Macaca mulatta: one gene and its partners. The protein of the gene in region 1 purifies or fractionates together with the protein of each later gene. This does not show direct contact. Links are inferred from orthologs where the notes say so. Each region holds a gene or a part of one and is shown in the gene's direction. Other genes may lie near its edges. The genes, in order: VCP, BTRC, PPP2R1A, SVIP, UBXN10, RPL13 and TUBB4B.

Evidence for each region.
Region 2: the proteins of VCP (region 1) and BTRC purify together in Homo sapiens (affinity purification with western blotting; 4 studies listed by BioGRID). This does not show direct contact. The link is inferred for Macaca mulatta from reciprocal best matches to the Homo sapiens genes VCP and BTRC.
Region 3: the proteins of VCP (region 1) and PPP2R1A purify together in Homo sapiens (affinity purification with western blotting; 4 studies listed by BioGRID, with this or other methods). This does not show direct contact. The link is inferred for Macaca mulatta from reciprocal best matches to the Homo sapiens genes VCP and PPP2R1A.
Region 4: the proteins of VCP (region 1) and SVIP purify together in Homo sapiens (affinity purification with western blotting; 3 studies listed by BioGRID and IntAct, with this or other methods). This does not show direct contact. The link is inferred for Macaca mulatta from reciprocal best matches to the Homo sapiens genes VCP and SVIP.
Region 5: the proteins of VCP (region 1) and UBXN10 purify together in Homo sapiens (affinity purification with western blotting; 3 studies listed by BioGRID and IntAct, with this or other methods). This does not show direct contact. The link is inferred for Macaca mulatta from reciprocal best matches to the Homo sapiens genes VCP and UBXN10.
Region 6: the proteins of VCP (region 1) and RPL13 purify together in Homo sapiens (affinity purification with mass spectrometry, with the first as the bait; 3 studies listed by BioGRID). This does not show direct contact. The link is inferred for Macaca mulatta from reciprocal best matches to the Homo sapiens genes VCP and RPL13.
Region 7: the proteins of VCP (region 1) and TUBB4B purify together in Homo sapiens (affinity purification with mass spectrometry; 3 studies listed by BioGRID, with this or other methods). This does not show direct contact. The link is inferred for Macaca mulatta from reciprocal best matches to the Homo sapiens genes VCP and TUBB4B.

What each region holds. Positions count from the first base shown.
Region 1 is NC_133420.1:64,669,095-64,672,141, forward strand, and holds the end of VCP (transitional endoplasmic reticulum ATPase), read left to right. Parts: coding exon 1-4; exon of another isoform or gene 5-61; intron 62-192; exon of another isoform or gene 193-277; coding exon 278-433; exon of another isoform or gene 434-511; intron 512-1,554; exon of another isoform or gene 1,555-1,577; coding exon 1,578-1,732; intron 1,733-1,887; coding exon 1,888-1,993; 3' UTR 1,994-2,547; downstream 2,548-3,047. UniProt on the Homo sapiens protein: Necessary for the fragmentation of Golgi stacks during mitosis and for their reassembly after mitosis. Involved in the formation of the transitional endoplasmic reticulum (tER).
Region 2 is NC_133414.1:113,601,823-113,605,322, forward strand, and holds part of BTRC (F-box/WD repeat-containing protein 1A), read left to right. Parts: intron 1-2,040; coding exon 2,041-2,137; intron 2,138-3,083; coding exon 3,084-3,221; intron 3,222-3,500. UniProt on the Homo sapiens protein: Substrate recognition component of a SCF (SKP1-CUL1-F-box protein) E3 ubiquitin-protein ligase complex which mediates the ubiquitination and subsequent proteasomal degradation of target proteins. Recognizes and binds to phosphorylated target proteins.
Region 3 is NC_133424.1:64,406,338-64,409,837, forward strand, and holds part of PPP2R1A (serine/threonine-protein phosphatase 2A 65 kDa regulatory subunit A alpha isoform), read left to right. Parts: exon of another isoform or gene 1-677; intron 678-821; coding exon 822-1,054; intron 1,055-1,685; exon of another isoform or gene 1,686-1,701; intron 1,702-2,549; coding exon 2,550-2,697; intron 2,698-2,819; coding exon 2,820-2,975; intron 2,976-3,500. UniProt on the Homo sapiens protein: The PR65 subunit of protein phosphatase 2A serves as a scaffolding molecule to coordinate the assembly of the catalytic subunit and a variable regulatory B subunit.
Region 4 is NC_133419.1:42,569,304-42,573,390, forward strand, and holds the start of SVIP (small VCP/p97-interacting protein), read left to right. Parts: upstream 1-1,287; 5' UTR 1,288-1,382; coding exon 1,383-1,436; intron 1,437-3,274; coding exon 3,275-3,325; intron 3,326-3,821; coding exon 3,822-3,935; intron 3,936-4,087. UniProt on the Homo sapiens protein: Negative regulator of the ER-associated degradation pathway (ERAD) of misfolded proteins. It competes with AMFR/gp78 for binding VCP/p97, and inhibits AMFR/gp78-VCP/p97 complex formation that is required for degradation of ERAD substrates.
Region 5 is NC_133406.1:220,784,109-220,788,134, reverse strand, and holds the start of UBXN10 (UBX domain-containing protein 10), read left to right. Parts: upstream 1-1,226; 5' UTR 1,227-1,248; exon of another isoform or gene 1,249-1,615; intron 1,616-4,026. UniProt on the Homo sapiens protein: VCP/p97-binding protein required for ciliogenesis. Acts as a tethering factor that facilitates recruitment of VCP/p97 to the intraflagellar transport complex B (IFT-B) in cilia.
Region 6 is NC_133425.1:85,005,366-85,009,609, forward strand, and holds RPL13 (large ribosomal subunit protein eL13), read left to right. Parts: upstream 1-1,444; 5' UTR 1,445-1,476; intron 1,477-1,701; 5' UTR 1,702-1,721; coding exon 1,722-1,825; intron 1,826-1,987; coding exon 1,988-2,129; intron 2,130-2,193; exon of another isoform or gene 2,194-2,277; intron 2,278-2,336; coding exon 2,337-2,510; intron 2,511-3,442; coding exon 3,443-3,499; intron 3,500-3,973; coding exon 3,974-4,132; 3' UTR 4,133-4,167; downstream 4,168-4,244. UniProt on the Homo sapiens protein: Component of the ribosome, a large ribonucleoprotein complex responsible for the synthesis of proteins in the cell.
Region 7 is NC_133420.1:5,210,464-5,213,129, reverse strand, and holds the end of TUBB4B (tubulin beta-4B chain), read left to right. Parts: intron 1-107; coding exon 108-216; intron 217-297; coding exon 298-408; intron 409-880; exon of another isoform or gene 881-881; coding exon 882-1,942; 3' UTR 1,943-2,087; downstream 2,088-2,666. Other genes in the region: CIMIP2A (ciliary microtubule inner protein 2A), read right to left, coding at 2,088-2,176, 2,559-2,666. UniProt on the Homo sapiens protein: Tubulin is the major constituent of microtubules, a cylinder consisting of laterally associated linear protofilaments composed of alpha- and beta-tubulin heterodimers.

The sequences.
Region 1 (3,047 bases):
CAAGGCAGGTGCAGGATCATGGGCTGTGGGAGACTTGTATGAGTCCTCAGTCTGGTATAGAGTGCTCTTTGGGTTCTGGACAAGATTGCTTTGGGGTTAGGGTTGGTCTAAAGGGAAGGTAGAATTTTTGAGGGTATTAAGATAATCTAGAATCAGGAATAAAATGGGGTGGCCAAAGAAGGGGCAAACTAGTTGGGAGTGCTTGGATGGCCCAAAGATCTGTGTATCTCAAGAGAGAAGAGGCTAAATGCTAAGGTAGCTCTGCTGCTTCTTTTAGGATGTGGACTTGGAGTTCCTGGCTAAAATGACTAATGGCTTCTCTGGAGCTGACCTTACAGAGATTTGCCAGCGTGCTTGCAAGCTGGCCATCCGTGAATCCATCGAAAGTGAGATTAGGCGAGAACGAGAGAGGCAGACAAACCCATCAGCCATGGTGAGTCTGTATCCTTTCCCCAGATGTGCCAGTCATGGGGAGCCAGGCAGCAGCCACCACCATGCCCTAGAGTTGAGAGTAGAAGTTGTTGAAAAGATCATCTGAGAAGAATGTTAATAGGGCATCAAAGATAAAGAATACTGAGGTGAATCCATTCAATTTGGAATAAGGCCGAGAAGAGATGGGCAGGCTCCATTCTCAGTCTAAACCAAGCTCCATGAGGGAAATCAAAGTATGAGAGTGCACCAAACAGAGCAAGGTTTTTGTTCTTGTTTTTGTTTTTTTTGAGACGAAGTCTTGCTCTGTTGCCCAGACCGAAGTGCAGTGGCGCGATCTCGGCTCACTGCAACCTCCGCCTCCCAGGTGCAAGCCATTCTCCTGCCTCAGCCTCCCGAGTAGCTGGGACTACAGGTGCATGCCACCACGCCCGGCTAGTTTTTTGTATTTTTTTTTAGTAGAGACGGGGTTTCACCGTGTTAGCCAGGATGGTCTCGATCTTCTGACCTTGTGATCCGCCCGCCTTGGGCTTTCAAAGTCCTGGGATTACAGGCGTGAGCTGCAGAGCAAGGTTTTGAACTGAGATGAGACCCATATACCTGTCCCTGATGGTTGGGGAAGGGATGGGGTCCACAGTCCTCCCAAAATGAAAAGACAAATTCATGTGTGTGTAAGCTCCATAAAGGTAGGATCTCTGTCATCTCACTTGTTTTCCACTATGTCCTGTGTTACCCTTAATTAATTCATTAAGTTCCAAACATGGGACTTAATGAATGAGCAAATAAATGGCTTTCTTTCTGTTTTGAAGGGTCTGTGACCTTCTCTCTCCCATAAAAGCTTAAAACTACTTATGAACTAATCCTAGGAAGCAGTCTCATAAGTCACAGCAATTGGCCTCTCAATGGAAGAGATAGGTTTTGAGCTGGGCTGTGAAGAGAGTATAATTTGAATAAAGGGAATAAGCAGCCCAAATAATGTGCTCTAGTAGTAGGATTGCAATCATTGGGAAACCCTGAGTATATTTTAGAGTATATATGTCACTGAAAGTGAGACCACTGGGTAGGATGTAATCCAAATGTGGTAAACACTGAAAACTATTGGCATTTTAAAGTATTAAGCCCTAGTGATCTGTGTTTACCAACTATAGGAGGTAGAAGAGGATGATCCAGTGCCTGAGATCCGTCGAGATCACTTTGAAGAAGCCATGCGCTTTGCGCGCCGTTCTGTCAGTGACAATGACATTCGGAAGTACGAGATGTTCGCCCAGACCCTTCAGCAGAGTCGGGGCTTTGGCAGCTTCAGGTAACTTGGTTGGGAGCCTTAGACAGTGCTTAAGTTACTTTGGGAACCTACACCAAAAAGGGAATGGGAGTCCTAAGGAAGCTAGAGGGGTAGTTGTGGAAATCTTACACAGGCTCTGTCCTAACCGTCTTTTTTGGCTTTGCTCTCGTACACAGATTCCCTTCAGGGAACCAGGGTGGAGCTGGCCCCAGTCAGGGCAGTGGAGGCGGCACAGGTGGCAGTGTATACACAGAAGACAATGACGATGACCTGTATGGCTAAGTGGTGGTGGCCAGCATGCAGTGAGCTGGCCTGCCCGGACCTTGTTCCCTGGGGGTGGGGGCGCTTGCCCAGGAGAGGGACCAGGGGTGCGCCCACAGCCTGCTCCATTCTTCAGTCTGAACAGTTCAGCTACAGTCTGACTCTGGACAGGGGGTTTCTGTTGCAAAAATACAAAACAAAAGCGAAAAAATAAAAGCGATTTTCATTTGGTAGGTGGAGAGTGAATTACCAACAGGGAATTGGGCCTTGGGCCTATGCCATTTCTGTTGTAGTTTGGGGCAGTGCAGGGGACCTGTGTGGGGTGTGAACCAAGGCACTACTGCCACCTGCCACAGTAAAGCATCTGCACTTGACTCAATGCTGCCCGAGCCCTCCCTTCCCCCTATCCAACCTGGGTAGGTGGGTAGGGGCCACAGTTGCTGGGTGTTTATATAGAGAGTAGGTTGATTTATTTTACATGCTTTTGAGTTAATGTTGGAAAACTAATCACAAGCAGTTTCTAAACCAAAAAATGACATGTTGTAAAAGGACAATAAACGTTGGGTCAAAATGGAGCCTGAGTCCTGGGCCCTGTGCCTGCTTCTTTTCCTGGGAAGAGCTTTGGGCTACCCACCACTCCCAAGGCATTCTTCCAAATGTGAAATCCTGGAAGTAAGATTGCACCTTCTTCCTTTCCTGATCAACATCAGTATGATGTCTCCTGTTGCCTCACCCTGTGTGTGCAGTATCACTGGATAGGACTGGTGGAAAGGGAGCAGCCTGACAGAGCTCCAAATGTGGAGAATATGGCATCCCTCCACCTATATTTGATGTGAACGGTAAGGCTAGGCCTGCAGAATCCCTTATCCTGACCAAAGACTGTGTTTAGGAGCCATTTGAAAATCATAGGGTTGCAAAAAAATACAATCTTATTTGCAGGTGGATATTCTCTATACTCCCTTTTAATGCATCTAAAAATCCCAAACATCCCCTGGTTGGTGATCACTTAGCGTTGTGCCCACCTTTATTTTATGTACTTTGTTTGATTTAAAAAAAAAAAGCTTTTTGTTAATAT
Region 2 (3,500 bases), on another chromosome or scaffold:
ATCATAAAAGGTTTTGACTTAAAACATAAAGACAGAAGCCCGTTTTCAATACCTAGCCATCCCTTTCTGTAGCACTTTGATCTGAAGAAATTCAGGTACTTTACCAAGACATGGTAAATGCAGTGAGGTGGAAAACAAGATCAGAAGCTTATATGGGTTCTCTTTCCTTAGAATGTAGAGATAGTATCATTGCATAGGAAGAAAGTCTTGGAGTGCTAGAGATTAAAAGAAGACAGGAATCTCAGAAATGGTGGGCATTGAGAAACAAGTAGTTAAGAATGTGGGTGGGCTGAGAAATCAGGCTTAAAATCTTCACATTCAAAATCTACTATTTGCCTGCAAAGTGTTTGTAGAATAATATTGTACAGAGAAATGTACCATTAATCCGGAATTCTTTCATAACACATCTTGTTTCCCCTTTTGTTTATGCTGGTGTATCATGTTTCATTAATCCCCCTCTTTATAAGTATTATTTTCACTTCTCTTTTTCAGATTTTCTTTTCTGTATTAACACAGAAGTTAGAGCCAGCTACCTTCCTGGACAGGAAATTTTCTCAAATAATTTTCAAGGTGTATAATAGGGAGAGGGAAGGGGAGAAGCACTCCTGGAGACAACAAACAATTAATTATATTGTAATGGAGCTATAGAGGGAGGAGTGGATGACTGGCCCAGAGAAAACATGATTTCTCTGGTGCCAGGATTACACTCAGAGGCATTTCTGCCTGTCTCCACTTTGCAAGGCACGGTGCCAGTGAGAACAGCAGTTAGTACACCCATAGTGGGGTTTACTAGCTTCCACACCGTGTTTGGTGGGTTCTTAACTTCAGGATGAGGAATTAAATTTTTTACCCAGCAGGAAGTGATTGCCATTTACTGATTTTTTTTTTGTAGCAAAGATCTAGCTTGGGATATGAGTATTCCAGAGATGTGCTGTCATAAGGAAGGAGATACTAACAAATGTTGCTCACTGGAAACAGGGAAGGCAGTTAAGTACATGTATGTATATACACAGCCAGGAACACACCTGTGAAAGTCAGTTTCATGCCTTAGACTTGATAGCACAATGCTCTTAGGCGTTTCTTTTTTTCTTCTTCCCTAGCTGCTGCTGGACAAACCTGTGATCCTTTTGTTTTCTGTTGAAATGAACTGAATTGTTCCTTTCAAAGCATAGTTGCACTGATTAGCAGCAGCCTGGGTGACTGAGCAGCCACCTTACCCACACAGATAAAGACCTAGAAAAAGTGATCTCCATGCCAGAGGCATTGCTGCTGTTTACAATGCTGGGGACCACTACACAGTAAAAGAAAAAAAAAAATTATAGGGCATGTGCTAGTTCAAAGGTAATACTTACCATTACTAACAAAATTTCCAAAAGATGAGGTCAGTGAATCTAAGCAGTAGTCTTAATAGACCAATAGATGAATTCTGATTATACATATTCCATTTGTTTACTGATATTATAATATTTCCAAAGGCTTGGTACTCTGACGTTCTACACTGGAAATAATCATGTTTTACCCAAAAGCAAATCAGTGTTGATCAGACTCCTTAGAGCCCAGAAGGTTGCTCTTTGACATGGGACTCCTGAAATCAGGCTTACGTTTGCTCCTCCCTAGGCAGCTATGGAGAGTATATGGAATGGTAACTGTGAAAACATTTTGAAAATATATGAAGCTCCTTATAAATATATAATGTCGGCCAGGTGTGATGTTTCACGCCTGTAATCGCAGCACTTTGGGAGGCCGAGCAGGAAGGTCATTTGAGGCCAGGAGTTTGAGACCAGCCTGACCAACATGGTGAAACCCCATCTCTACTAAAATACAAAAATTAGCCAGCGTGGTGGCAGATGCCTGTAATCGCAGCTGCTCAGGAGGCTGAGGCAGGAGAATCGCTTGAACCCAGGAGGAGGAGGTTGCAGTGAGCCAACTCACGCCGCTGCACTCCAGCCTGGGCAACAGAGCAAGACTGTCTCAAAATATATATGTATATAAATGTATAATGTCATGATTTTCATTGGGAAATATTTGTTATTTTTTTAGGGGACAGTATTTATTCAAAAACAAACCTCCTGACGGGAATGCTCCTCCCAACTCTTTTTATAGAGCACTTTATCCTAAAATTATACAAGACATTGAGGTAAGAATCTATGTATTTTGGGGTATTTGCCCAGTGGCACAGAATTATCAGCATTCTTCAGTCACAATATGGTTACAGCAAGCCCATTAAGGTTTATTGACATGAGTTGCAAGTCAATCTCTTAGCTGGCTGTGGTGGCTCACGCCTGTAATCCCAGCACTTTTGGAGGCTGAGGTCAGGAGTTTGAGACCAGCCTGGCTAACATGGTGAGACCCCTTTCTCTACTAAAAATATAAAAATTAGCCAGGCATGGTGGCACACGCCTGTAATTCCAGCTACTCAGGAGCCTGAGGTAGGAGAATTGCTTGAACCTGGGAGGCACGTGTTGCAGTGAGCCGAGATCGTGCCACTGCACTCCAGCCTGAACGACAGAGTGAGACTCCATCAAAAAAAAAAAAAAAAGAAAAAGAAAAGAAAATCAGTCTCTTTACAGGCAAGTAGGGTAGGTAAAATAAATTGCTAGGCAAAATTTTAAAGCTTTAAAAAATTGTTTACTAATACATAGATGAGAGAGATAAAGAGATTGATCCCTTCATACAATAGCAGTGTGAATGGTAAACTTGTCCTCAAATATCTTCTGAATTGAACCTCCATAGAAGTTCATCAGTAGCAATGGCCATCACATATGTAAGAGCACTGAGTGTATAACCTCACATAGTTTGTAGCTTTTCTCCTCTTGATGAGTAGTCTCTTCCCACTAGATTTATTATTTAATTGAACAAATTATAGGCAGGGGAGTTCTAGGAAACAAACTTTAATTACTTTGCAAAAGGGAAAATATTTTATAAATGTAGATAGTAGCCTTTTAAAGACATTTTTAAGTTTTCCCTAAGTTGTGTATATCCCATAGAGTAAAGCATCGAGCCTTTGATTGTCATTAAAGCCCAAAAAGAGTTTGATTCTAGGCGTTTCCTAACACTGCCATTTTCCCATTCCTTCTTCTCAGACAATAGAATCTAACTGGAGATGTGGAAGACATAGTTTACAGAGAATTCACTGCCGAAGTGAAACAAGCAAAGGAGTTTACTGTTTACAGTATGATGATCAGAAAATAGTAAGCGGCCTTCGAGACAACACAATCAAGGTGAGGTCTGTTCAGTTGTAGGAAGGTAGCGGAGGGAGCGAGGCTGACTACATTCTTAGCACAGTCCAAAGCATAAACTCTAAGCATTATTTCTAGAAAGTAAGTGAAGATTTTAGATTGTTTCCAGTTCCAAAGCCAAAATCATTTCCTTAAAGGACAGACATCTGCTTCCCCCCAGAATATTATACAAATGGGTAGTCCTAGGGTTAAATTCTCTTCTTGAAATGCACTGAATGGGCTATTACTCTTTTGGCCCTCACATAATTATAAACTACCTTG
Region 3 (3,500 bases), on another chromosome or scaffold:
ATTTCAAACCAGAGACCTCTGTACCTTTATTTGAACATATTGGGATAAGTTGAGTCTCCCTTCAGTAGGTCGCTAATTAAGAGTTCCTGTCTTGTGCTAAGAGTGCTGCTGGGCTCTGGGGATACAGTGGAGAGCCAGTCATATATATCTGAAGGAGCACAGTCATTCTAAGCCCACAGTAACAACCAGCGAGCCGTCCCGAGCCCCATAGTCCCCCAGAAACATGAGATCCCAATTCAGTCACCAGAGTTGTATGAGACAGCACAACTGTACCTGTTCATGGGAAACTCAGGTCAGGTTTTCGATCCTGACCTGTAGCTATTATTAGCTTGGGCAAGCCAGTCCGTACCTCAGTTTTCTCTTCTTTAAAATCAGGACTTGCTTTATAGAATTCAGTGAGGAAAAACAAGCACCCCTGGTACAACACGGTGGTCCTGCCTAGTACACACAGTGAACTGATGTTCTACGCAGTGTCAGTGATGATCATTGCACTTTGAGAGGCTAAGAACTTTCTCCTCAGAAAGTGATGTGTGTAATTTTCAGATTCATGGACCCCAGTGAAACTTCTTCAAGGACCCCTAAGTAAGAACCTTTGTGGAAGGCACGCTGACAGAGACCTTCTGCTGGCTGGCATAATATTACGTTTTTCCTTTGAATCATTCACTGCAACCATTTTAAAATGCTCTTTTAATGAAGGCTGGGATGGGTAATAGGGAAGGTTTCTCTGAGGAGATGAGCCCATGAGGGGGTTGCAGGATGGGGGTCCAGGGCCAGGGATGGTAGAGAGGGAGCTGTCCAGTGACTTCATATTCTCACGACAGCCACCCCTGGAGTCGCTGGCCACAGTGGAGGAGACAGTGGTGCGGGACAAGGCAGTGGAGTCCTTACGGGCCATCTCACACGAGCACTCGCCCTCTGACCTGGAGGCACACTTTGTGCCGCTGGTGAAGCGGCTGGCGGGCGGCGACTGGTTCACCTCCCGCACCTCGGCCTGCGGCCTCTTCTCCGTCTGCTACCCCCGAGTGTCCAGTGCTGTCAAGGCGGAACTTCGACAGTGAGTCTCTGCCCCCCTTGGAAGCTCCAAGCTCCCCCCTCAGCTCGGTCCCCTTCTCTAAAGCCTCAGCCTCCTTTCGGTCTGCCTAGGGCCCACACGCCCCTGAACTCTCTCCAGTCCCACTCCTGCTTACCACGTGGTAGGCCACATCCTTGAGAGTTGGTCTCTGGACACAGCCGCGTGTCAATTTACCACCTCTGCCCCCTTGCTCACTTAGGAATTGAGATGATGACAGGTCCTCCTTCCCACTGGTTAATGTGAGGATTTAAAAGAATTATCACATATAGGCCGGATGCAATGGTTCACGCCTGTAATCCCAGCACTTTGGGAGGCCAAGGCGGGTGGATCGTGAGGTCAGAAGTTCGAGACCAGCCTGACCAAGATGGTGAAACCCTGTCTCTACTAAACATACAAAAATTAGCCGGGCATGGTGGCGCACTCCTGTAGTCCCAGCTACTTGGGAGGCTAAGGCAGGAGAGTCGCTTGAACACAGGAGGCAGAGTTTGCGGTGAGCCGAGATCATGCCGTTGCACTCCAACCTGGGCGACACCAGTGAAACTCCGTCTAACAAAAAAAGGAATTATCACATATAAAGTGCTTAGAGCAAAATCTGGAACATAAAAACTTTCAGCACATCACATCTGATGGTGTCTCCAGCCTGTCCCAGGTCCGGTGCCTTTGGCAGGTAAACCACTTCAGTTTTCAGCCTCCTGCTCCTCTACTTTGCAAACAGTTGACCATCATGCCCAGGTTTGAGCCGTGGCTCACTCCAGAACTCTGATTTACGGCTGCACAGATGCTTAGATACTTACACTGGCCCTGACCATCTTTGACCGAAGCAATTGCTGCTGTAAAATAAAGCCTTTCTGTGGCTCTAGACTAGCCTCTTAGTTAAGCAGTTTTTTGTTTGTTTTTGAGATAGGATCTTGCTCTGTCATCCAGGCTGAAGTGCACTGATAGAATCATAGCCCACTGCAGCCTCAACCTCTTGGGCTCAAGCATTCCTCCTGCCTTAGCCTCTCAAATAGCTGGGACCACAGGTGTGCACCACCACGCTGGGCTCATTTTTTATTTTTGTTAGAGATGGGGTCTCACTATGTTGCTCAGGCGGGTCTTGAACTCCTGGGCTCAAGCAATCCTCCTGCCTTGGTCTTCCAGAGTGTTCAGATTACAGGTATGAGCCACTGTACCAGGCCCCTTGGTTAAGCAATTTTTATGGTCATGATAATGTAATTGTCAGCACTTACCATTGACTGGATTTATTATGTGCAGTCTGCGAAGTGTCCCACACACATTATTTCATTGAAACCTCATGCAGACCTGTGGGGTAGTTACTGTTACTATCAGCGCCTTTTCATAGGGCTGGGAAGACAGACGGAGTCATCACTTGCCCAAGGTCATTCAGCTAAATCCTGGACCCACACAACTGCAGTCTGTGCTTGCTCCTCTCTGCCGTACTGCCTGCTGCCTCATGATCCCCATCCCCGACTCCCAGGTACTTCCGGAACCTGTGCTCAGATGACACCCCCATGGTGCGGCGGGCCGCAGCCTCCAAGCTGGGGGAGTTTGCCAAGGTGCTGGAGCTGGACAACGTCAAGAGTGAGATCATCCCCATGTTCTCCAACCTGGCCTCTGACGAGCAGGTGAGTTTTGCTCCCTGGACCTCTCTGCTCTCACCTCCTTCTGCTGGTCCCTGCCCGTGAAAGAGAATCTCAGAGTTCAGCAAGGCCTCTGCTGCCCTCCTGCATTCCTCTCCTCTCCCCAGGACTCGGTGCGGCTGCTGGCGGTGGAGGCGTGCGTGAACATTGCTCAGCTCCTACCCCAGGAGGATCTGGAGGCCCTGGTGATGCCCACTCTGCGCCAGGCCGCTGAAGACAAGTCCTGGCGCGTCCGCTACATGGTGGCCGACAAGTTCACAGAGGTAGGTGAGCGACCGTTGACACTGTCCCACTGGTGGGGGACACTGACACCCTCAGAAGGGAAGCATATAGAAGCTGAGGTTTACCATTAGGCCGACGGAATCATTGGGCGTTTGAGCAATAAGATCTCTGTGATCGTCTAACTTCATCTCACTTTATATGCCAATCCTGGTTGATTGACATGGCATCTTGAAGTGCTGCCTTGAGAAGGATTCTGAGGCTAAGTTAAGGCTTCACGGAGGAAAGTGCCACAGGAGCAGAGAAGGGTAGCACATGTGGGGTGCTCCTGACATAATCAAGCTGTCCTTTCACAAAGGGGAAGACGCAGCCCAAAAAGGTGCAGTTTTTTGTTTGTTTGTTTGTTTTTTTGTTTTGAGACGGGGTCTCATTCTGTCCTCCAGGCTAGAGTGCTGTTGCCCAGCTGGAGTGTGGTGGTGCAATCTTGGCTCACTGCAACCTCTCCCTCCCGGGTTCAGGCAATTCTCCTGCCTCAGCCTCCTGAGGGACTGGGATTACAGATGCCCACC
Region 4 (4,087 bases), on another chromosome or scaffold:
TAAAAAACATTATGGCTTTTGCAAAACATATCGTATATTTCATTTATGTAAAACTTAAAGACTATAGTGATATTATTTATGCAAAACTTAAAGACTAAAGTGGTATTAAACAAATTAATAGTTTCCTGGATCTAGGTATAGGATAGAGTATTGAATGGGATTGAGTATAATAGATTTTTGGATGATGGAAAACTTACATATCTTGAATGTGGTGATCACATGTTTGTTAAAACCAAGTGAACTCTACAATCAAAATAAGTGCATAATATTATATGTAAATTATATATCTATAAAAAATTAACCAGTAAGAATATGTATCAAAAAGTTGACAATGGTTTTGAGATGCTGTCACTATACATCCTACCTTTTTGTAATGTTTCAAAATTTTCCAATAAGCAGAAATAACTAATAGAATGCAAAAATAAAATAAAATAAAATAAAAGCATTTGTGTGGGGACGAGGTCAGTAACTTCAGTATCACCTGTGGGTTTACTGGAACTGAATCTCAGGTCCCACCTTATACTCACTAAATCAGCATGTAAATTTTAACTAGTTGCCCAGGTGATTCTCATACTTATTAAAATTTGAGAAGAATGTTATTAAAATATTTCTCAATAGATGAAACTTTATTATTTCTCTCGGAGTGATAAGTGACTCCTAAATACCAGAAACTAGTGGAAATCTCAACTAATGCCACATTTATGACGCTAGATTCATCGTCATAATAATGGATTTTATATTCTGCCCTCTGTTCTGGTACAGCATTGTCACTAAGGGAGCAAAGGGTACTGATGTTGACTTGGAATTTGGGCTTTAATTTCTAGGATACCAGAGTCCCATCTCATAAAAAAGGTAGCATGAACTACCCAGAGTTGTGCCACTTACTCATTTGTAAATGGTAAGGCAAGGCTAGCAGGAAGAGCTTTGGAACCGTAGCGAAGCTTTTCCATCCCTTCCCTGCGTTGCTACCCACAGCAGGTGCTTCCTGGAACCTAGGCTTTGGCCACAAGCCCTGCGCTCTCGTGGCGGGGCTACGCGGAGCCGTGGGTGAGGAAGGGGCAATGCCTTATGGGGACGCAGCTGAGCTGTGGGGACTGGTTGGTGTCGCGAGAAGAGGGGGGCGGTGTCGCGAGAAGAGGGGGGCGGTGTCGCGAGAATAGGAGGGCGTTGCCGCAGAGAGGCGAGACGGGGCGGAGCCGCGGGGTGGGGGCGGGGCGGAGCCGCGGAGTGGGGGCGGGGCGTTGTCGCAGGGGTGGAGCCGAGCCAGTGGACGGTGGTGGGGGCGGGGCAAGCGCGGAGGACCAGGGACGCGCTTCCGACCGCGCAGTTAGCGCCTCCTGGCCTGGGGGGAGCCCGGTCAGGGTTCCCCAGTTGTTGTCCCTATGGGGCTGTGTTTTCCTTGTCCCGGGGAGTCCGCGCCTCCCACGCCGGACCTGGTGAGTAAAACAGGTCCCTGCGTCCGCCGGGCTGCGCCTTGAGCACCTGTCCTCGGGCTGCGGGGCGGGCCGGGCCGTTGGACCTAGGGGCGCAGGTCGAGAGCCCGCGAGGGGGACCCTGCTGGCGAGGACGGGTGGACGGGTCAGGAGGGTCGCTGGGTCCTGTCAGAGCGACCTAGGCCGCTGCCTCCGTGTAGATCTCCACTTTTGTAACAAAAAATTGTCCAAAGGCGGCTGTGGCGTCTTTTACCTTCCACTGAGTTGGGCTGCACCGGGAATTCGTAGGGCGCCGGCGCACGCAGAGGGCGTTGCGCGTGGGACATTCTAGGGGATGCGGTAGATGGAATTCGGCGCAAAAAGACATTGCTTTCACCGGGAGCTCTTTAGTCGTCTAGGAGAAGTGCATTTTCAACTGTGTCTACCATCTTTTAACAGAAGGTGCTCAGAAAGTCGCTTATACGCCTGAGCTTTATCGGATATGTTATTTTAATGATTTCTTTTTAGTATTTATCTGATTATTTTACGTTCTCCCTTTAAAAGAATATGTAGTACAGAGTGTCCAATTTGTAATGTTGTCGTATTTGACAAAAATGCTGGACACCCAGTTACATTTGAATTTGAGATATACAAGTAATACATTTATAATATAGTTTTGTGCTGTGCAATATTAGGGATCTAGTTCTACAAAAACATTACTCATTGCTTATCTGAAATTCAAATGTAACTAGTGGGTGTGTGGTACAATAACATGTACACTTTTTGTAGCTTTCTGTTAACAATATCTTTACGTTAGTACTCCTTACAGGGAGTTAACATAAACCTGTTTCTCTTCTCTAACTAAACATTAGTTGAAGAAAATGAAGTATTTAGGAAAGTACATTAACTCTTCAGCTATTATAGATACTAAAAATTTAGTACTTATAAATTTGATGTGGGAAAGTTCAGCTTCTCTTTGTTGTTGCTGTTGTTTTAAATTATGTTGATTTTGTTGTTCTGGCTGTTGATAAAATATAACATGTCAGATTGGTTAAGCCCTCCCCCATCCTCATGCTATACCCTCTTGATACCCTCATGATAACCACACGGCTCGCTGCTTGGATGTCACTTTATTAGTGAAGCTTTTACTGACCACGTTAAACAAAATATATTCCCCACAATACCACCTACCCATTCTCCCATTACTTATCTGCCATACCATCTGAGAGGCATTTACTTACTTTGTTATATTTGTCTGTGTGCCCGCAATTGAAATTTGTTTCATTTGGGAGGTGACATTTATCTATGTTTTTACACTGCTGTATCCCAGCACCTAGAAAAAGGGTTTTAATAAGTAGTACATGGTCTAGAAAAATAACATTCACTGTTTTCTGATATGGAACAATACCTGTCATGAAATTACTCCAATCCGTCTCTCCTGCACACTGAGATTAGCCCACTTATGCATTAACTTTTGCTAAAAACACAGGGTTACTTCAGACTCCATTTTAACTAGCAGTATCAAACCATGTATTTTCCTTCTTGTATTTGTAAACATTATTTGTTTTATTATTGCCCTGACTAGCTTGTAGGCCTTTTGATTTAAAAAAAAAAAAAAAAAAAAAAGAGTAAAGAAATGATTATATAGGCAAACCTTGTATCTGTTTTAGCATGTGCTGATTTGAAGGTGTATTGATTAGGAGAATAAAATTCAGAAAGTTGAGTAGCGGCATTCTTTGTGGGACATTTAGGGCCAGTACTGAATATTTTTGTGAACTGTTATAGTACCTATGAAATAAATGTTTATAATTTATTCACAATAATGTTTGTTATTTAATACATATTTTTACGCATTTCCTTAGGAAGAGAAAAGAGCAAAGCTTGCAGAGGCTGCAGAGAGAAGACAAAAAGAGGTAAGATTAAAGATCAAGTTTTGCCTACTTAGATAATTTTGTACTTTATTCTTCATAGATGTCCATAGTTAAATTCTCTAACGCAAATGGCCTTTGATATCCCAAAAATTTACCTTTAAAGGTAATTATTTTCAAAATGATTTCCTTGTTTGTATGAGTTGCATTAATATATTTATATTATTTAATATATGAAAACTATCATATCTTCTCTAAATTCAGATACTCTTTTAGTAACATCCTTCCTTTTAAAATGGCTGTGCATTGTAAAATACAGATGTGAAGCAAGTTTAGGGGAAAATTTGTACAGTTACAAAATACCCAGTGAAGAAATGATGTTTTATGTAAGGCTGTTGTAGAAATACTCCTTTGTTACCAAAAATAAACCAACTCCCTACCCCCAAAGAAAAACCTAGAAAGCAAAGATAGACAAAAATATGTTTTGCACACTGGACAGATTTTTGTTGTCTTTCTGTATTTCTTACCAAATTTCTTCAAGGCTGCATCTCGGGGAATTTTGGATGTTCAATCTGTGCAAGAAAAGAGAAAGAAAAAGGAAAAAATAGAAAAACAAATTGCTACATCTGGGCCCCCACCAGAAGGGGGACTTAGGGTAAGTATTAAAATTTTCTTGTGCTTAACTTAACTGGCATTTTAAAAAACTTAAGTAGCAATCCATTCAATAATTTTCTCCTGAAATGTATTATCAGAAAATTTTGAAATAGTGTAAAATCATGAGTAGTAAATATTGGAAGTTATATCGAT
Region 5 (4,026 bases), on another chromosome or scaffold:
ACTTGAGCCCAAGACTTCGAGACCAACCTCAGCAGCATGGCAGAACCCTATTCTACAAAATATAATAAAAATTAGCCAGGCATGGTGATGCACGCCTGTAGTCCCAGCTACAAGGCAGGCTGAGCTGGGGAGGTCCAGGCTGCAGTGAGCTGTGATTGCACCACCGCACTCCAGCCTGGGTGAAGGGGCAAGACCCTGTCTCCCCTTCAAAAAAAAAAAAAAAAATGGAAGAAAGAAGAAAGGAGGGAGAGAGAACCCAATGGTTGGTCGGGGATGGAAGTGCAGGGCTGATGGTCTAATTGAGGTTAGAGACCTCGTGTTTGTTACACCAAGGTGTGTGGCTGGCCAAGACTTCTTCAGTACCCATGTGTAGGCGGACTGATTTGGCTTGGGGTTTCATCAGATGGAAGGAGAGCAGGACTCGGGGAGGGAGGATCCTTTTGAGAAGGCTGAGGGATGGGCCAGGATAGGGAAGAAGCAGGTTGATAGCAAGGGGGAAAGCAGAGACAGCAATGGACAGGTAGCCCAAAGATGGTGAAAAACAGATACAGCAGAAGTGACTCAAGCGGCTGGAAGTGGAAGAGATTGTGGCTGGGGACATCAAAGGAGGTGCAGATGCTGTTGATAAGGTTCCCAGTGTGGCCCGGGGTGGGAGGCTGATGTGAAAATGAGGAGGTCAGGGATCTGGCACTGAAAGGGCTGTACTGAGGATGGGGACCCTGCTCCCCGCAACTCAGATACCCTAGAAGCATCCACTCAGAGTCTAGGGTTCCGAGAATCCATCAGTCCCACAGCCTCATTTTAAAACCAGGGACACTGAGAGGCTCAGGACCTGACCCAAAGTGAGAAACGGGGTTTGAGACTAGTGGTGCTGCTCCCCGCGCCTCCACGCCCCGGCTAGGGCTCTCCTTCTCCCAGACACTCTCCCCAGCGAGAAACAGAGGCAGGTGACGCTAGGAAGAGGAGGAGAGAAGGAGGCCGCAGGTCCCTGTCGCCTCCAGGCCAGGCAATACGGCTGGCAATCCACCGACCTGGAGCTCATGGCCTCCGCCCTCCTGGCCCAGCGGCCCCCACCGACCCCACCTGACCCGACCCGACCAGACCCAACTGGACCCCACCCGACCCAGGCCGGTTCCGGTCACGGCGGAAGCACGTGGCCCCCCACCCCGCGGCGTTGCCCGGGAGACCAGGGCTGTTTACCAGCGGGACAGAGCTGGGCGCAGGCGGCGGATGGAGCGGAACGGCTAGGTGAGCGCGGCTGCCAGACCCGGCGGCCTGCCCTTGGCCTCCGCCGGGCCTGGAAGGGGCCGGGAGAAGCCAGTCCCCGAGCCCCCAGCACGTCACCCTTGAGGGCCTCCCCAGCCCCAGCCCCAGGGACGCGAACCCCGGGAGACAGGCGAGGAACCTGGAGAAAAGTCTGCTCCCGAGGCAAAGCAAGCCTGGCCAGAGCTCACCTTTACCAAAGGGACCTATGCAACCGCTGGGCCATGCCCTCCAGGCTGGGATGTAGCGATGGGGACACAGACCCAGGGAGAGAAAAGGACGTCCCAGTCTCCGGCAGGGCAGAGACCGGAACCAGATGGACCCTCCCCCAGTCCTGTGCTCTTTCACTGAAGTCAGTTCTCACTTTCTAAACGCTCTTTCTCGCCCCTCCCCCAGATCCCTCCTCCACCCCTTAAGCCTGTTGCCTTCTAGGGCGCTGGAACTTGGACATAATTGAGTTATCCCCACCACTTCCTTGCCCTTCTGTCTCTGGAATCATCCCTAATTCTCTTTCCAAACATTTGATCACTTGGTGGCTTGTGGTTCAGTGTGGCACTCTGCATAGGACAGTGTATTCTAATCACTAGTTTGGGGTAGAACTGGGAATGGTACCAGAGTTTTTTCATTCTCAGGCCAACCACCATCTCCTGTTGGTTCTTCAGAGCATTTTTATCCTGAAAGCCTGGTGGGGGTGTGGGTTGGGGGTGGGGAGTGGCAACGGATAGGATTAACTGATACAGTTTTAAAAGACCAATTCAAATGTATGTATCTTGGTATATACCAGCAGATGGTATGTAGGTGGTTATATTTTACTGCATATACTGTAGGCTTAGATTTGGGTTGTGAGTGAAATAGGGTGGTCTGACCCTGTGGTGGGTGGTGGGCACCCTTAGAAAGCAGGAGCCCTGCTTTAGCTTCCCCCATCCACATTTCCTTCTTTCCAGTTGATTTGCTGATGAATCTTAAGGAATGGGCACCTGCCCTTCTGGCAACTTCTTGGAAACAGTTGGCAGTGTTTGCTTCCTGACTCCTAGCAGGCCTCTGGGGCGCAGCTATTGTGTTTAAGTAAACAGGCCACTCGCCTATTCAGCTTGGCAGCTTGGTAGATGCCTACGCCTAGATCTTGTCAAATCAGTTTGTGGTTGAGCGGCTGCCAGGCCTAGAGGTGGTGAAATGAACTGAGCAGGGATAATGATGGCTGCTGCTAGGAGCCTTCCTGGACTGAGGGCGGCGGGCAGAGTTCAGGACCCGACGTGTGAATATAAAGGCACAGTTGGCCCAGATCCCCAGACACCTGTTTCCCCAACCGCCCCATCCCTATGTGATGGCTGCTGGGGAGAGCTGGTGTTCCCTCCGTGTAACAGATGGTCCCTGTGCTCGGGAGGAGGCAGTGGGTTATGAAAGCAGGTTGGATATAATGGTTTTACCTGAAGGAGGTGTTAGTCTCTAAATAACCATGAGTGGGCTCCTAGGAATTAGTCATAATTGAGGTTTTTCTCTGAGATAGCTCACAGTCATGTTATCTTATGACCAGGGTGTCTTGAATATGACACCCCCTGAACATGGATAATTATATAGAACCAAAAGGTATAGAAAGTGCATGCACATACTCAAGTTTTACTGTTAAAAATAATCCCTCAGAGAGCCTGTGAGAACACATGACTCTCCTCATCAAAGTTGTTAAGGAAGAGGTTTCTAAGTTACCAAACTCACTGACAGCTAAACCTTCCTGAGGCATGTGTGGGTGTTGGAAGCCAAGCCTGTGATAATTCTGTAGAAGCTGTGGCAAATTAATAGCCATTCCACAAGTGGGGAGGGTGGGCCGAGAGGGGCGTGGGTTTGCCTGTGGAGCTTATCTTTGGCAGAACAGTTGGACAGTTATGACCTTCTCCTGCCATCCTGAGTGAAAGTGCAGAGCTGCTAATTGCCAGAGAAAGACTTGAGAATGAGACTAAAGGGGGAAAAACACATTCTTCACAGTTGATCAGAAAATAGATGAAATTAACAAGGAGATGGGCAGTCTTTTTTGATGCCAAAACTTTGCTAAGGAGAAGGCTCCTGAGCTACTAGCAGCCAGACTGGGTGTGAAAGACGAGGGAGAAGTGGAAAATGGGGAGTGGAGAGAGACTCAGGCTGTGAGTAGAATGCAGCCGACATAGAGGCCTTTAAAAGAGGGTAGCTTTGTCCCAGATTTTGAATTGAGCAGGACATCAGGAAGATACAGGGATGCTGTGTTTTGTTTGGTCCTGGTTTGAGTGGAGAGGAAGCAGATACTCCCTAAAATTAGGCAGCAGTGGTTACATGCACGGAATGGTAAGGTTAGAATACATACCCTGAGAGGCTCAGATTACATTGAAGATTTTGTGATGAAAGGAATGAATTTGCAGGAAGTAATCATTCTACGGGAAGTGAATTTGAGGTAAGTAAAATGTAGAATTAGAAGAGAAGTGATCAACTCAGGATTTTTTTTTCACATGTTTTTGAGGCAACTGAATAGGTGGTAGCTCATTGCAATCCACCTCCCTGTGTTTCTGTGCAGTGGACAGGGCAGGCATGAGTTTCAGGACTCACCCAGCTGGTTGACTAGGAGTAGAATCACCAAGGACACAGGGGAAAAGTTCTAGAGCAAAACAAGGAAGGCTTTTGAATTTAGCAGACAGAAAGCACTAAACAGACAACCCAAAGCAAACAACAACAACAACAAAATCCCTTAACGTTTAATTAAGTTTCTACCATGCACTAAGCCTGGTGCTTCCCGCCTTA
Region 6 (4,244 bases), on another chromosome or scaffold:
TTTTGACAGAGTCTTGCTCTGTTTCCCAGGCTGGAGTACAGTGGCGCGATTTCGGCTCACTGCAAGCTCTGCCTCCCCGGTTCACACCATTCTCCTGCCTCAGCCTCCCAAGTAGCTGGGACTACAGGCGCCGCCACCACGCCCGGCTCATTTTTTGTATTTTTAGTAGAGACGGGGTTTCACCGTGTTTGCCAGGATGGTCTCGATCTCCCGACCTCGTGATCCGCCCGCCTCGGCCTCCCAAACTGCTGGGATTACAGGTGTGAGCCATCGCGCCCGGCCGGGACTGTGAAATTCTTAAAATGTGGACTAAGTTTTACCAGGAGGAAGGCTGGTGATTGGGTGAGGGTAGGGAAGAAAGAGGGTTATTAAGATTTAAAGGTTTCCAGGTAGCAGTAAGATGGATGGTGCCTTCACAGACTTGCACTAGAGAGTAAGAGCTGGCTTTTTGTTGATGCTTTTCTTTGTGAAGGGAGGCAGTAGGCACAGCAGGTCAGAATGTGACATTTTCAGTTGGGTACCCCTGACCTTAGAGAAGTCACCTAATCCTGGGCCAAGGGAAAGCGGGGACAGAGGCCAACAGTAACTGCTCCTTACGGAGTTGTGTGGATTCGATGTGAAAATGCACATCCGGAACTGAACTCCCTGCTTACAAAAACACTCAAGAAATGTTAATTTTATCTTTTAAAAAACCAGCATAGGCCGGGCGCGGTGGCTCACGCCTGTAATCCCAACACTTTGGGAGGCCGAGGCGGGCGGATTGCCTGAGCTCAGGAGTTCGAAACCAGCTTGGGCAACACGGTGAAACCCCGTCTCTACTACTAAACTAAAATACAAAAAATTAACCTGGTGTGGTGGCGGGCGCCTGTAATCCCAGCTACTCGGGAGGCAGAGTTTGCAGTGAGCCGAGATCACGCCATTGCACTCCAGCCTGGGCGACGGAGTGAGGCTCTTGTCTCAATATAAAAAAGTTCTAAATGGATGGGAGGAGAATAAACGCTGGAACAAGGAGGACGACGGCCTTAGGTTGCGCAGACTCGGATCTCATTGCAGTTTTCCTGCCTTTGCGCTACAAACGTGTCCCACAAACGCGAACAAACTTAAGAATTGCCGGGGCGTCGCCCGTTCGCCGTCCGCCCAGATGCTGGCCGCGCGCGCGTTAGTCCGCAAGGCGGGACTCGGCCTGAGCCCACCGCGGCCCGCGCAGCGGCTGAAGCGCCGGGGCAGTAACGGCGGACGTCAAGCAAGTCCGGCCGCGGGGTCCGCAGGGCCCGGGCATCACGGCCCCGCCGCCGCACTCTGAGCGACGCCATGTCTGCGAGGGCGGCCCTGAGAGCGCGCGGTGACGTCAGTTCCTCCTTTCCGGGCTCTGATTGGTCAGAGCGCCCGGCGCTTCTGGTTGGCCGGCCCTGCTATCATCCCAGGGTGCATTGCGGCGCCGTTTCCTTTCCGCTCGGTTGTCTTCCTGCGCAGGAGGTGAGCTAGACTCGGTCCCGGCCTTTGGGCTTCATCCGGCGCCATCGGCCTGGCGTTGCTGCCAGCGCGGGCATGGATGGGCCCCTTCTTTTTCGCAGACAGCGTTGGGCCGGGGCCCGGGCTCTAGGCGCGGCCGGACGGCCCAGGCTGGAGGGTTCAGGGCGGAGGTCCGGGGGGTGCGCGCGCCCGGGGCGCGGCCTCTCACTCGCTCCCTCGCGTTCGCAGCCGCAGGGCCGTAGGCAGCCATGGCGCCCAGCCGGAATGGCATGATCTTGAAGCCCCACTTCCACAAGGACTGGCAGCGGCGCGTGGCCACGTGGTTCAACCAGCCGGCCCGGAAGATCCGCAGGTGAGCCCTGCGCTCGGGGCGCCCCTGGGGCTCGCGCCCGCGGCTGCGCCTTGGTTTGGGGGTGGCCGGTGCCAGGGCGGGGGGCGCTGTCTGCGGCCGCCGCGGAGCACTCGCCTGGCGGCCTTAGGCGAGGGTGACCGCCGCTGGGCTTCTCTCCACCAGACGCAAGGCCCGGCAAGCCAAGGCGCGCCGCATCGCCCCGCGCCCCGCGTCGGGCCCCATCCGGCCCATCGTGCGCTGCCCCACGGTTCGGTACCACACGAAGGTGCGCGCCGGCCGCGGCTTCAGCCTGGAGGAGCTCAGGGTGAGTAGTGGCAGCGCCGCGGTGTCGGGAGGGCCCTGAGTCCCCTGTGCTGGCCTCAGTCGCGTGATGACATTCTCCGGAATCGCTGGACGGCCTTGATGAAAGCACGTTTGAACCCTTTTCCATCTGATCGCTGGGCCTCTCCATCCGGGCCTCGCGGCGGCGAAGGCCCGGGCCCGCCTCCATCTCTCTCCGCTTCTGGGGCAGGTGGCCGGCGTTCACAAGAAGGTGGCGCGGACCATCGGCATTTCTGTGGATCCGAGGAGGCGGAACAAGTCCACGGAGTCCCTGCAGGCCAACGTGCAGCGGCTGAAGGAGTACCGCTCCAAACTCATCCTCTTCCCCAGGAAGCCCTCGGCCCCCAAGAAGGGAGACAGTTCTGTGAGTACAGGGCTCTCCGGCCGTCCTGGCGCGCGGGGAAAGTGAGGCCGGGTTCCTTTATCGGCGACACCCGTCCCTGGGCCCTGCTGGGGTGAGAAGAACCAAAACCTCGTGGCCGTTGTGATCCGCAGGATACGCCTGTCTTGCAGGATGACGAGCTAATCGGGACTACTAAGGTTCACCTGTGGTTTTCAGCAGGGATGACCTTAGTGGTCACGGCAAAGGCTGTGTGACTTGGAGCCAGCTTTTTCCGTTGAAATCATTGTCTCCCTAAAATGCTTCGTGTTCTGGCCTGGCGCGGTGGCTCAAGCCTGTAATCCCAGCACTTTGGGAGGCCGAGACGGGCGGATCACGAGGTCAGGAGATCGAGACCATCCTGGCTAGCACGGTGAAACCCCATCTCTACTAAAAAATACAAAAAACTAGCCGGGCGAGGTGGCGGGCACCTGGAGTCCCAGCTACTCGGGAGGCTGAGGCAGGAGAATGGCGTGAACCCGGGAGGCGGAGCTTGCAGTGAGCTGAGATCGCGCCACTGCACTCCAGCCTGGGCAGCAGAGCCAGACTCCGTCTCAAAAAAAAAAAAAAAAAATGCTTCGTGTTCCAAAATATTCTAGAAAAACCTTGTAGGGTAAGGTTGATAAAAGTCCATTGTATACGTTTCCTGGTAGTTGAATTAGGGAACGATTTTCTCTGCCCCGTCCCTGGTTCACAGGTAGATATAACTGTCTCATGCGTGTTGTGTCAACTCAGTAAGATAGCCACCTAACTAGTAATGACTGTTCTCAACACTGGGGACACAAAGTATGTTGGAGGAAAGGCTCAGACACTGGTGCTGAACTCGGGATCCCCAGGGGGAAGTTTGGGGCCAGGCGGGGGTGGAGTCCTTGGGGCAGCGCGGCTAAAGGCACTTAACTCTTCTCGTTCATCAACAGGCTGAAGAACTGAAACTGGCCACCCAGCTGACGGGACCGGTCATGCCCATCCGGAATGTAAGTTAACACTTGCTCAAATCCAGCTTTAGACGAGATCAGTGGGTGATCACATGGATATCTGAGATGGGGATCAGGCCTAAGAAAGTTAATGGTGGCAGTTGTGCTGCGTGTGGAGGTTTGTGGAAAAGAATATTTCTTAGTTTTTACTTCTTGCAACCACGAAGCCGTAAATTGGGAAGTTTTTTTGGAAAGAGAGTTTCTCTATGTTGCTTACACTGGTTTTGAATTTTGGGATTTACAGACCTAAGCTGCCGTGTGTAGCTCAGGCAGGGAGGGTTTTTCTTTTCTTTTCTTTTTTTTTTTTTTTTTTTTTTTAAATCACAGGGAAGGTGACTGACTCAAGAGTCGCTTTTCCGCAGTTGGGCAGCACACCTGCCCTTACATCCCCCGAAGTCCTCTGGGTTCTGATGATGCCTATTGTGCCTTTGCCCATTGACACACTGGGTTCAACAACTTGTGTTTCTCTTCTAGGTCTATAAGAAGGAGAAAGCTCGAGTCATTACTGAGGAGGAGAAGAATTTCAAAGCCTTCGCTAGTCTCCGCATGGCCCGTGCCAACGCCCGGCTCTTCGGCATACGGGCAAAAAGAGCCAAGGAAGCCGCAGAACAGGATGTTGAAAAGAAAAAATAAAGCCCTCCTGGGGACTTGTAATCAGTCAGCAGTCACGCTGGGTCTCCCCGTGGTGTATTTCGTGGGAGCTGCTGGGCCTGGGATGGGGTTTCGCTGCTGTGACTTCTTACAG
Region 7 (2,666 bases), about 59 Mb from region 1:
CGGGGAGGGCCGGGCTGCCGCACCCGTCCGGGGCGGGGCTGCCTCCCTGCGCACCGGCCGCGGTGACTCAGCCCCGACCCGCCCGGGCCCGCCCGCGTCCCTTGTAGTTCTGGGAGGTGATCAGCGATGAGCACGGCATCGACCCCACGGGCACCTACCACGGGGACAGCGACCTGCAGCTGGAGCGCATCAACGTGTACTACAACGAGGCCACCGGTGAGGCCCCGGCCCTTTCCCCGACCGCCCTCCGGGGACCCCGCGGCCCCTGCCCTGGCTGATGCCCTCCCGTCCCCGCAGGCGGCAAGTACGTGCCCCGCGCCGTGCTCGTGGATCTGGAGCCCGGCACCATGGACTCCGTGCGCTCGGGGCCCTTCGGGCAGATCTTCCGGCCGGACAACTTCGTCTTCGGTGAGCTGCGGCTGGGGGCTGGGCGGCGGCTCAAAGGTCAAGGGGCTGCTCCAAGGGCACCTCCGTGGGAACTGCGCAGCCCGGGCCCCTGGACGCTCTTCTTTGAACCACTCAATCCCCTCTCCTAAATCGGCTTTGAGAGCAAGGTCCAGCTGTCTGCCGAGGCGAGGAGTCGCCACACACGTAATCTCCCTGCAGGGAGCTGAGCTGGGGGCAGTGGCTGTTGCTCTGTCCTTGGGAATTGGCAGTGGCCCCCCCCTCTCCGGGGAGGGGTTTGTTAAGCTCTCAGGTTTGGCTCTTGACTTAATCTGTAGCAGGGCAGGCTGCCGTCCTTTCACTTTGAGGGGTCTGTTTGGTCTACCTGCAGGGTGAATTCTGGGGTCAGCTCACACCATGTCACGAGGTCCTTTTCGCATGGTGGTGGTGACCAGTAGTGCTGTCTAGTTGGCTGATAAATGACTGTTTTCTCACAGGTCAGAGTGGTGCTGGGAACAACTGGGCCAAGGGGCACTACACAGAAGGCGCGGAGCTGGTGGACTCGGTGCTGGATGTTGTGAGGAAGGAGGCTGAGAGCTGTGACTGCCTGCAGGGATTCCAGCTGACCCACTCCCTGGGTGGGGGGACGGGGTCTGGGATGGGTACCCTCCTCATCAGCAAGATCCGGGAGGAGTACCCAGACAGGATCATGAACACGTTCAGTGTGGTGCCTTCGCCCAAGGTGTCAGACACAGTGGTGGAGCCCTACAACGCCACCCTCTCAGTCCACCAGCTCGTAGAAAACACAGACGAGACCTACTGCATTGATAACGAAGCTCTCTACGACATTTGCTTCAGAACCCTAAAGTTGACCACGCCCACCTATGGTGACCTGAACCACCTGGTGTCTGCTACCATGAGTGGGGTCACCACCTGCCTGCGCTTCCCGGGCCAGCTCAATGCTGACCTGCGGAAGCTGGCTGTGAACATGGTCCCATTCCCCCGCCTGCACTTCTTCATGCCCGGCTTTGCCCCGCTGACCAGCCGGGGCAGCCAGCAGTACCGGGCCCTGACCGTGCCCGAGCTCACCCAGCAGATGTTTGATGCCAAGAACATGATGGCTGCTTGTGACCCCCGCCATGGCCGCTACCTGACGGTTGCTGCCGTGTTCAGGGGCCGCATGTCCATGAAGGAGGTGGACGAGCAAATGCTTAATGTCCAAAACAAAAACAGCAGCTATTTTGTTGAGTGGATCCCCAACAATGTGAAAACAGCTGTCTGTGACATCCCGCCCCGGGGGCTAAAAATGTCCGCCACCTTCATCGGCAACAGCACGGCCATCCAGGAGCTGTTCAAGCGCATCTCCGAGCAGTTCACGGCCATGTTCCGGCGCAAGGCCTTCCTGCACTGGTACACGGGCGAGGGCATGGACGAGATGGAGTTCACCGAGGCTGAGAGCAACATGAACGACCTGGTGTCTGAGTACCAGCAGTACCAGGACGCCACGGCCGAGGAGGAGGGCGAGTTCGAGGAGGAGGCTGAGGAGGAGGTGGCCTAGAGCCTTCAGTCACCGGGGAAAGCAGAGAGGCAGTGCGAACTCTTTATTCCCTCCCAGCCTGTCCTGTGGCCTGTCCCGCTGTGTGTGCACTTCTGTTTTCCCTGTCCTCATCCCATGCTGTACAGACACCACCATTAAAGCATTTTCATAGTGTGCGGTTTCGCCTCGCCCATTCCTTCCAGTAGGCCCTCCGGGTGCTATTGCCGAATGTCAGTGCGTAGTTGTCCTGCATGGCTGCGGGGAGCCAGGCTGTAGGTGAGCTGGGCTTATGTACCCAGGGACCAGCATGGGCTGGACACCCAGGCTTCAGAGAAGTGTGCAGCTGCCCTGGGCCCTGGGGATCTGCTTGGTGGGGAACCTGCTTCTTGAAGGCAGGCCTGACCTGTTCTGGGTACCCAACCTTGGGGCCCATTGGCCTGTGTCTGGGACTTTAGCCCCCTTCCGAAAGGGGTAGGGAGGATGGCAGACAATCCTACCCCAACCAAGGTGGGACCCTGGTTGGTAACGGTGGTCAGACAGGTGGTCCTGAACCAGCAATGAAGGGTGGGCAGGTACAGCTGCCCCTCCCCACGTTGGCCAGGGTGTGTCCGTGTGACCCTTCCCGCCCTGTACTCACAGGGGATGAACCCCATGTAGAAGGGGATCAGGCCTTGGCTGCTGTAGATGTGGTTGCTGGGCCAGTGTGTTCCAGGCAGCTTCTCACCCAGGTCACAGTGGGGGTTTC